Oryctolagus cuniculus: one gene and its partner. The protein of the gene in region 1 binds, or shares a complex with, the protein of each later gene. Links are inferred from orthologs where the notes say so. Each region holds a gene or a part of one and is shown in the gene's direction. Other genes may lie near its edges.

Region 1 (3,748 bases):
GCGCCGTCCCCCGCCCCGGGCCCCGCGCCACTCGGACGGGACCCTGACTAGCGAGCTCAGCCGCTTGCGGGACCGCGCGCGCCTACAGCGCCTGCTGCAGGGCCTCCTGGGCAAGCGCAGGTGAGCGTGGGCAGGTGAGGGCGCGACCGGCGCGGGGGAGACCCGGCCTGGGACGGCCGGCCACCTGCGCTCTGACTGGTTGTGTGTGTCTGTGCAGCCAGCAGGACTCCAAGCCCGGCCCAGCCTCCTGGTCCAGGCCCTGCCCGAAGTGGTCCCACTGCCCACCTGCAGGCCTGGTGAGCGCCCTGCTCCTGCCAGCTCCTGTCCCCTGGGACCCTGTGTGTGGGGGTGGGGTTACGGGGAGTCTCCAGCTCCCAGGCCGCAGCCCCCAAGGTGCCTGTCTCCGCAGGAGGCTCCTCGGGCCACCCCTGGGCCCCGCCTGGTCAACCCTGCTGCCTCCTGGGCCCGGGGCTGGGGTCTTGGTTTTGGAGCTGGCCAGCACCGAGACTGAAGCAGCGCCTTGGATGCCCTGATGTTGACCACGGAGAAGGAGGGGGTCCTGCAGGGGGCAGGCGGGGGGGGGTTGTCCTCGCACTAATAAAGGAGGAACTGGGACCCCTGATCCGTGGCTGCCGTGTGGGAGCAGGGCCCCAGAGCTCGGACCACGCCCAGCTGCCCTTTATCCCTGGGAGCCACTGGGCCACCTGCTGTCCATCCTCTGAACTCCCCAGGGTGTGCCCCTCCCCGGGCCTTGCAGTAGGGATGTGGGGGAGAAGAGGGGTGGGGGGAGACGGGGTGGTGGCCCAGGATTCCGGGAGCAGCACCCCGTGACTGCCGGGCTGGCCATGGCGTCCATGCTGGGCGGGGTCCCACCGCAGGCCAGGGATGGACCCCGTCCCTGAGCTCCTCCCTCCTTCCTGGCCTCTCCCTGGCCGCTGGAGGTGTGGGGGTCCCAGGAAGAGATCAGGACCCTCAGAGCCCTGCAGGGGTGCCTGGGACACAGTCGGTTCCTGTGGGATTTAGACGGCGAGGGAGGGGAGGTGGGCCTGGAAGGGAACCCTGGACCCCCGCCTTGCCGTGGGCCTTGCAGCCCCCATCACGGTGCCCCAGGCCGTAGCCCCAGCAGCTCACACCTCGTGCTTTGGCGTCTGTGGGTTGAGCCCCAGGTGACCCTGGGGTGGAGTGGGGGGGCAAGTGACCACCTGGCGTCCCCCTCCTGGCTGCGGCCAGCCCGTGCCCAGCCGGCCGGCGGGATCCCCCCTGGCAGAGGCCAGCCGTGAAGCCATAAAGCAGGGCGGTGCCTGCCAGGGGCAAAGGTCGTGCGAGGCAGGAACTGCAGCAGTCCAGGACGGCAGGGGGACGGACAGACGCCAGACGCCAGCCGGCCGGATGACAGCCACCAGGACGGGGACCTGGCCCCTGCGGTGGCCTCCCCTGCTGCTGCTGCTCCTGGGGCTGCCGGGCCAGCCCTGGGGGGCTGAGGCGCAGACACAGGGCAGGTGCCGGGCAGGGGCGGGGGCGGGGGCGGGGTGGGGGCGGGGCTGGGTGCTGACCCGTGCTGTCCGCTGCAGTCTGCTCCATCAACCAGACCCTCTTCGAGGTGAAGGAGAACTCGGACGTGGCGAAGCCCCTGGTTGACATCTACGTCCCCGATGGCCTGCAGGTGGCCCTCGGCCCCTCGACCACCGCCGCCTCATTCCGGATCCAGGGGACTCAGCTGTTTCTCAGCGCGAGTCCAGACTACGAGGTGGGAGCGGCCCTCCCCCCCCATCCCCTCCCGGGCACAGTTCTGCCAGGCAGTGGCTGATCTGGCGTCGGCCCCGGGCTTGGGGGCTGTGGCCGGCAGCCATCCTCCTGCCTGGGCGGCCGGCCTGTGCAGCGGGGACCGTGTGCTGGGCACTGGGCAGGCGCCTCCCCACGTCCCCCTGCCTCCGCAGGCCGTGACCTTCCTGGAGGCCGACCTGGAGTGCAGGAGAGGGACCACGGTGGTGAGTCCGCCCCTCCCAGCCCCTCCCACGCTAGAGTGCAGGGATGAGCTCACCCAGGGCACGCTTCCCCGGCCACACCCGAGACCCGCGGCCCGGCGCCCCGGCACCCATACCCTGGCCTCAGCCACCAATATGTCTGGAACTTCCGACTGGCCTGCTTGCTCCCTTTACCCCGGCCCACCTCAGCCCCCTCCTCGGTGGCGGCTGGGATGCCGGCCACACCCAGGGCCGGGACCCCACAGGGGTTCACAGCGCCCTGGCCCCAAGAGTGAGGGAAGGGGGGAGCGGGCTGGGCACCCCGGGGACCCTCAGGGAGACGCCGGCCACGCCCTGCAGGTGACGAGGCTGCGAGTGTTCGTGACCGTGCTGGACGTCAACGACAACCTCCCCACGTTCCCCTTCGACACCCTGCAGAAGGGTGTGGAGGAGGTTAGCCCGGTGGCGCCTCGGGGCCGGCCCTGGGGGCTGGGGGCTGGGCCAGGGGCTTGCCCCTGGGGTCTCCAGTGTGGCCCACCCCAGCCCACCCCTGTCCATGCCCAGGATACGAAAGTGAACTCCACAGTCATCCCCGAGACAGAACTGGAAGCCAAGGACCTCGACGAGAGCGACACCTTGTTCTACACACTCCAGGAAGTGACCCCGGTCCGTGCTGCCCCGGCCCCCGGCAGACACCAGCCTGTGCCCACCCCCCAGCCTCTCAGGTCACGTCCCCCTCTCTTCAGGGTGCTGGGCACTTCTTCTCCCTGGCGGGCGCAAACCACCCTGCCCTAAGGCTGGACCGGACCCTGGACTTCGACAGGTGGTCAGAAATGACCTTCCGGCTGCTGGTGCGGGTGAGCAGGCCCCACCAGCCCCGGGTGCTGGACACTGGACACTGGGGCCCCAGTGAGGCTGCTGCCCGCCTGACCAGTGGCTACTGCAGGACACCCAGCAGGAGAACGAGCTGCCCAGCCACACGGCCACGGCCACCCTGATCCTGAAGGTGCTGCCCGCTGACCTGCGGCCACCCTGGTTCCTGCCCTGCAGCTACTCAGATGGCCACGTCTGCATCCAGGCCCAGTACCAGGGGGCAGTCCCCACGGGGCACACGCTGGTAACGGGGTGCTGCCGCCGGCCCGGGCGGGGTCAGGGCGGGCTTGGGTCCTCCCAGCTTTGGTGACATCCAGCCGTGGGCACTGGGCCCTGGGCCCTGTTGGGCACTGCCGAGCAACTCCCTCCCCAGCCACCAGGGGGCAGTGGGCCCTGGCTGGGCAGTGCACGGGAGGCAGGAGTCCAACTTCCCTGTGAACATTCCTGCTGACCCAGCATTCAGATGTCCCTGAGACTCGGGCCTGGCAGGGACATGTGGCCATTGGCCAACTGGGCCCCGCCGCGGCCCCGGCTGGCCACCACACCCGTCCCACAGTGTCCCCTCCCCTGGCCGTCCCCACAGCCAGGTCCCCTCACCCTACGCCCTGGACCCATCTACGCTGAGGACGGAGACTCGGCCATTGGCCAGCCCATCATCTACAGCCTGCTGGGGGGTGAGTGAGGCCCTGTCCCCAGCCCCATCCCCACCTGGGCCCAGCCAGGATGTGAGGCTGACCACCTGCTCACCCTCCCAGGAAACCAGGGCGGCGTGTTCGCCATCGACGCCAACTCGGGCCACCTCACCATGGCCAGCAGCATCCCCAGCCCCACGACCTTCGTCCTGCTGGTGAAGGTGGGTGCCGGCATTGTGTGGGGTGGGGTCCCCCGGCCCTCCTGCACCCTGACCCCGT
Region 2 (3,748 bases), on another chromosome or scaffold:
TAATTAAGTTGGACAAAAAAAAAGATATGAGGAATAAACTGTTACAGACTTCAAAAACAGATCTTCACACATCAATTTTGTAATAATATGGGAAAACATTTATGGTGGATCAAGCAGACAGAAAGATAATGCAAAATGGTTGGTTGCTTGGAGGTTAAGATGCCCATATCCCACATCAGAGTTGCTGGGTTCTGTTTCTGGCTCCGGCTCCTGACCCCAGCTTCCTGCCAGTGAAGTTCTTGGGAGGTAGCAGTGATGGCTCAGGTAGTTGGGTTCCTGGTACCTGTGTATGGGACCTGGATGGAGCTCCTGCCTCTTGGCTTGTGCCCCAGCCCAAACCCCAGCCACTGCAGGCCTTTGGGCAATGAATCAGCAGATGAGCTTTCTCTTTCACTGTCTCACAGTTAATAAATAATTTTTAAAAAGAAATAAAGTAAAAATTACACAATAAGGAATATATGTGTTCGTGTATGGTTGATCCAGTCATGGAAGGGGATGCTTTCTGATTCTATTGCACCGTCTTCAGAGAACATTGTCTTCATGAACTCTTTTATTTGATATCTGTTGGACCTGCGCTGATTCTATTTGGTGGTCAGTTTTTATAAATACTCATATTCTTTATGTGGTTGAAAAGAACATGCATTTTCTATTGGGTGGAACTGTCTATATATGATCATTCAAGTTTGTTACTTGTGCTCCAATCTTTAAATCTTTACTAATTTTTAGTCTGATATAATATTAAGAGAGTATATTAAAATATTCCACTATGATTATGAGTTTTTTACTTTTTGTAAATTCTAATTTTTTTCCTATCTGAGGGCTGCTATTAGGTATATATGACAGGAGTATCATAGTCTCCTGTTAATTTTTGTTAATATTATGGTAAAGTTGTTTAATTTTGTGTTCCTTATGGGGCGGGGCGGGGGAGAGAGAAAGTGAAAGTGAAACTTCTTTTTTTTTTTTTTTTTTTTTTGACAGGCAGAGTGGACAGTGAGAGAGAGAGAGACAGAGAGAAAGGTCTTCCTTTACCATTGGTTCACCCTCCAATGGCCGCTGCAGCTGGCGTGCTGCGGCTGGTGCACCACACTGATCCAAAACCAGGAGCCAGGTGCTTCTCCTGGTGTCCCATGCGGGTGCAGGGCCCAAGGACTTGGGCCATCCTCCACTGCACTCCTGGGCCATAGCAGAGAGCTGGACTTGAAGAGGGGCAACCGGGACAGAATCCGGCGCCCTGACTGGAACTAGTACCTGGTGTGCCCGGCGCCGCAGGCAGAGGATTAGCCTATTGAGCCATGGTGCCAGCCAAAAGTGAAACTTCTAACCAACCACTGATTCACTTCCTAAATGACCACAAGGACAAGGACCGAGCCTGGAACTCTAGCTGTGTCTTCCACATGGCTAGTGAGGGCAAAGCACTTGGGCCATCTTCCACATCTTTCATAGGTGCATTAGCAGGGAGCTGGATCAGAAGCACAGTAGCTAGGACTTGAACAGGTACTCTGATATGGGGTGCCACCATAGCCTGCCATAGCACAATGCCAGCAATACAAGGCGGGCATTTGGTGCCACAGTTATGATGCTGCCTGGTTCAAGGTCCAGCTCCTCTACTTCCCATCCAGTTTCCTGCTAATTTGCACTCTAGCAAGCAGCAGGTATTGCCTCAAGTACTTGGGCCCCTGCCTCCCATATGGGAGACCCAGATTGAGTTCTGGGTCCTGACTTTGCCCTGGCCCAGCCTTGGCTGTTGTGGGCACGTAGGGAGTAAACCAGTAAAGAGAAGATTGCTTACTGTTTGTCCCTCTCACTCTGCCTTCAAATTAAGTGGAAATAATTTTTTTAAAAAAGATTTCCCCAGTTGAACTAAACTAGTTCTGAATATTTTTGAAATTATTTTCTTCGTTTGGTGCCTACATGTGCAGTATCACATTCAATACTTGCAAATGGACATAGCAAAAATTAAATGTGCCTCAAAACACTCAAGATGAACACAGCAGGCTATAATATTCAATGTCATGGCCATTCCAGAAAGAAAGGTCCAAGTTCAGTGTCATGAGCCTTTCTGGCTCCCTTCCATGGATTGATGCTGGAATGAGCTTTGCCCTGTGATACTCATTCTTGTCACTGATTAACCAGCAGTACAGGCAGGCTATCCTGCCAACATTTACTGTGCCTGGGGAGAGACATCTGGCCAACCTTTGGTGAGGAGGGAAAATGTCCACTCGTTACCACCAAGCTGCCAGTGATAGCTACCTGGAACTTCTGAAAGAGGCTACCAAGCGAGATCTGAATCTCTCTGATGAAGATGGCATGACTCCCACTCTCCTGGCAGCCTACCATGGGAACTTGGAAGCCCTGGAAATTATCTGCAGCAGAGGGTAAGTTCAACATAATGTCTTCTGTGGGAAACAGTGCTGATAACAGGATTTTTTTTTTTTGACTGGCAGAGTTAGACAATGAGAGAGAGAGAGAGACAGAGAGAAAGGTCTTCCTTCTGTTGGTTCACCCCCGAAATGGCCGCTACAGCCGGTGTGCTACGCTGATCCAAAGCCAGGAGCCAGGTACTTCCTCCTGGTCTCCCATGAGGATGCAGGGACCAAGCACAAGCACTTGGGCCACCTCCACTGCACTCTCAGGCCACAGCAGAGAGCTGGACTGGAAGAGGAGCAACCGGGACAGAATTGGCGCCCCAACTGGGACTAGAACCTGGGGTACTGGCGCTGCAGGCGGAGGATTAGCCTAGTGAGCCCTGGCGCCAGCCTGATAGCAGGATTTTGTAGTCGGCAGCAGGAGACAAAGAAGTCAGTGCAAACACTTTGTTCTCTTTCTAGACTTTCTAAATAATTGAATTTTTAGAGAAAGGCAGAAAAATCTGCCCAGGGAGGCACTAGTTTTACAGTGAGAACTGGTGCCATGAGAGTGGCTCATTCCTTAGCACAAGTATAGGAGAGACACTAAACTCTAAGGTGTTGTTACCTGCCTTGGGTGCAGGGAAGATAAATTAATTCCATGCCTCTCAAGTCTTTTCCATGAAATTTAAATAGAGATCATGGTTCTACTTGGTTTTGAGTTGTCAACCTTGATTGGAATAAAAGGCATATTTTTATTATAAATTTTCATAAATGCCTTTAAAATCCCACAGCTTTTTGTTAATATTCAATCCCAGTGCAAGCTCATGATTGCTGAAGAGAGTTGCTGGCTCTGTCAGCCACAGCACACACACACTACCCCCACTCCGAACTTTAAAACAGCAGTTTTGCTAGCTCCTTTTCTCTGCTTTTTCTGCCTGTGACCAGAGGAGCTAGGCAGTATTAGCAACTACAACCCAAGATGAGTAAAGAAAGGGGAAAAATAAAATGTAAATGAAGAAGCCAACTAAATTCAATACCTATTCATTTTGTATCTGTTACATGCCAGTCATTTTGCTAGCCACTGGGCATGCTGTCATCAGTAAGAGAGATACAATTTCTGTGATGGTGATCACATCTGAGAGTAGAAGACATGACAGGTCTTATAGAAATGGAAATGAGAAGGCATGAAATAACTCAGGCATTCATCCTACTCAGGGTGTAGGAAAAGCTTTCCTAAGGGGCGAGCAATTCAGCTGGGATTCGAAGCGCTGAAGATGGAAGAGAAGTTTCCCCCACCACTGAGCACTGTGGATTACACTGTAGATTCCAGGATCTGAAGAAGTTGGATGTTGCTGGTCATGGCTTGAATGGGGACAGGACAAGTGTAAGAAATGTGACCA

The links. The genes of interacting proteins can lie anywhere in the genome.
Region 2: CDHR5 (region 1) and ANKS4B share a complex: the UniProt entries of both Homo sapiens proteins name them as parts of the IMAC/intermicrovillar adhesion complex. The link is inferred for Oryctolagus cuniculus from reciprocal best matches to the Homo sapiens genes CDHR5 and ANKS4B.

What each region holds. Positions count from the first base shown.
Region 1 is NC_091432.1:251,157-254,904, reverse strand, and holds the start of CDHR5 (cadherin-related family member 5), read left to right. Parts: upstream 1-1,314; 5' UTR 1,315-1,389; coding exon 1,390-1,495; intron 1,496-1,571; coding exon 1,572-1,747; intron 1,748-1,937; coding exon 1,938-1,988; intron 1,989-2,324; coding exon 2,325-2,417; intron 2,418-2,528; coding exon 2,529-2,630; intron 2,631-2,710; coding exon 2,711-2,821; intron 2,822-2,910; coding exon 2,911-3,081; intron 3,082-3,420; coding exon 3,421-3,511; intron 3,512-3,592; coding exon 3,593-3,690; intron 3,691-3,748. Other genes in the region: SCT (secretin), read left to right, coding at 1-120, 218-296, 410-511. UniProt on the Homo sapiens protein: Intermicrovillar adhesion molecule that forms, via its extracellular domain, calcium-dependent heterophilic complexes with CDHR2 on adjacent microvilli. Thereby, controls the packing of microvilli at the apical membrane of epithelial cells.
Region 2 is NC_091450.1:17,993,860-17,997,607, reverse strand, and holds the start of ANKS4B (ankyrin repeat and SAM domain-containing protein 4B), read left to right. Parts: upstream 1-983; 5' UTR 984-2,211; coding exon 2,212-2,375; intron 2,376-3,748. UniProt on the Homo sapiens protein: As part of the intermicrovillar adhesion complex/IMAC plays a role in epithelial brush border differentiation, controlling microvilli organization and length. Plays a role in assembly of the complex.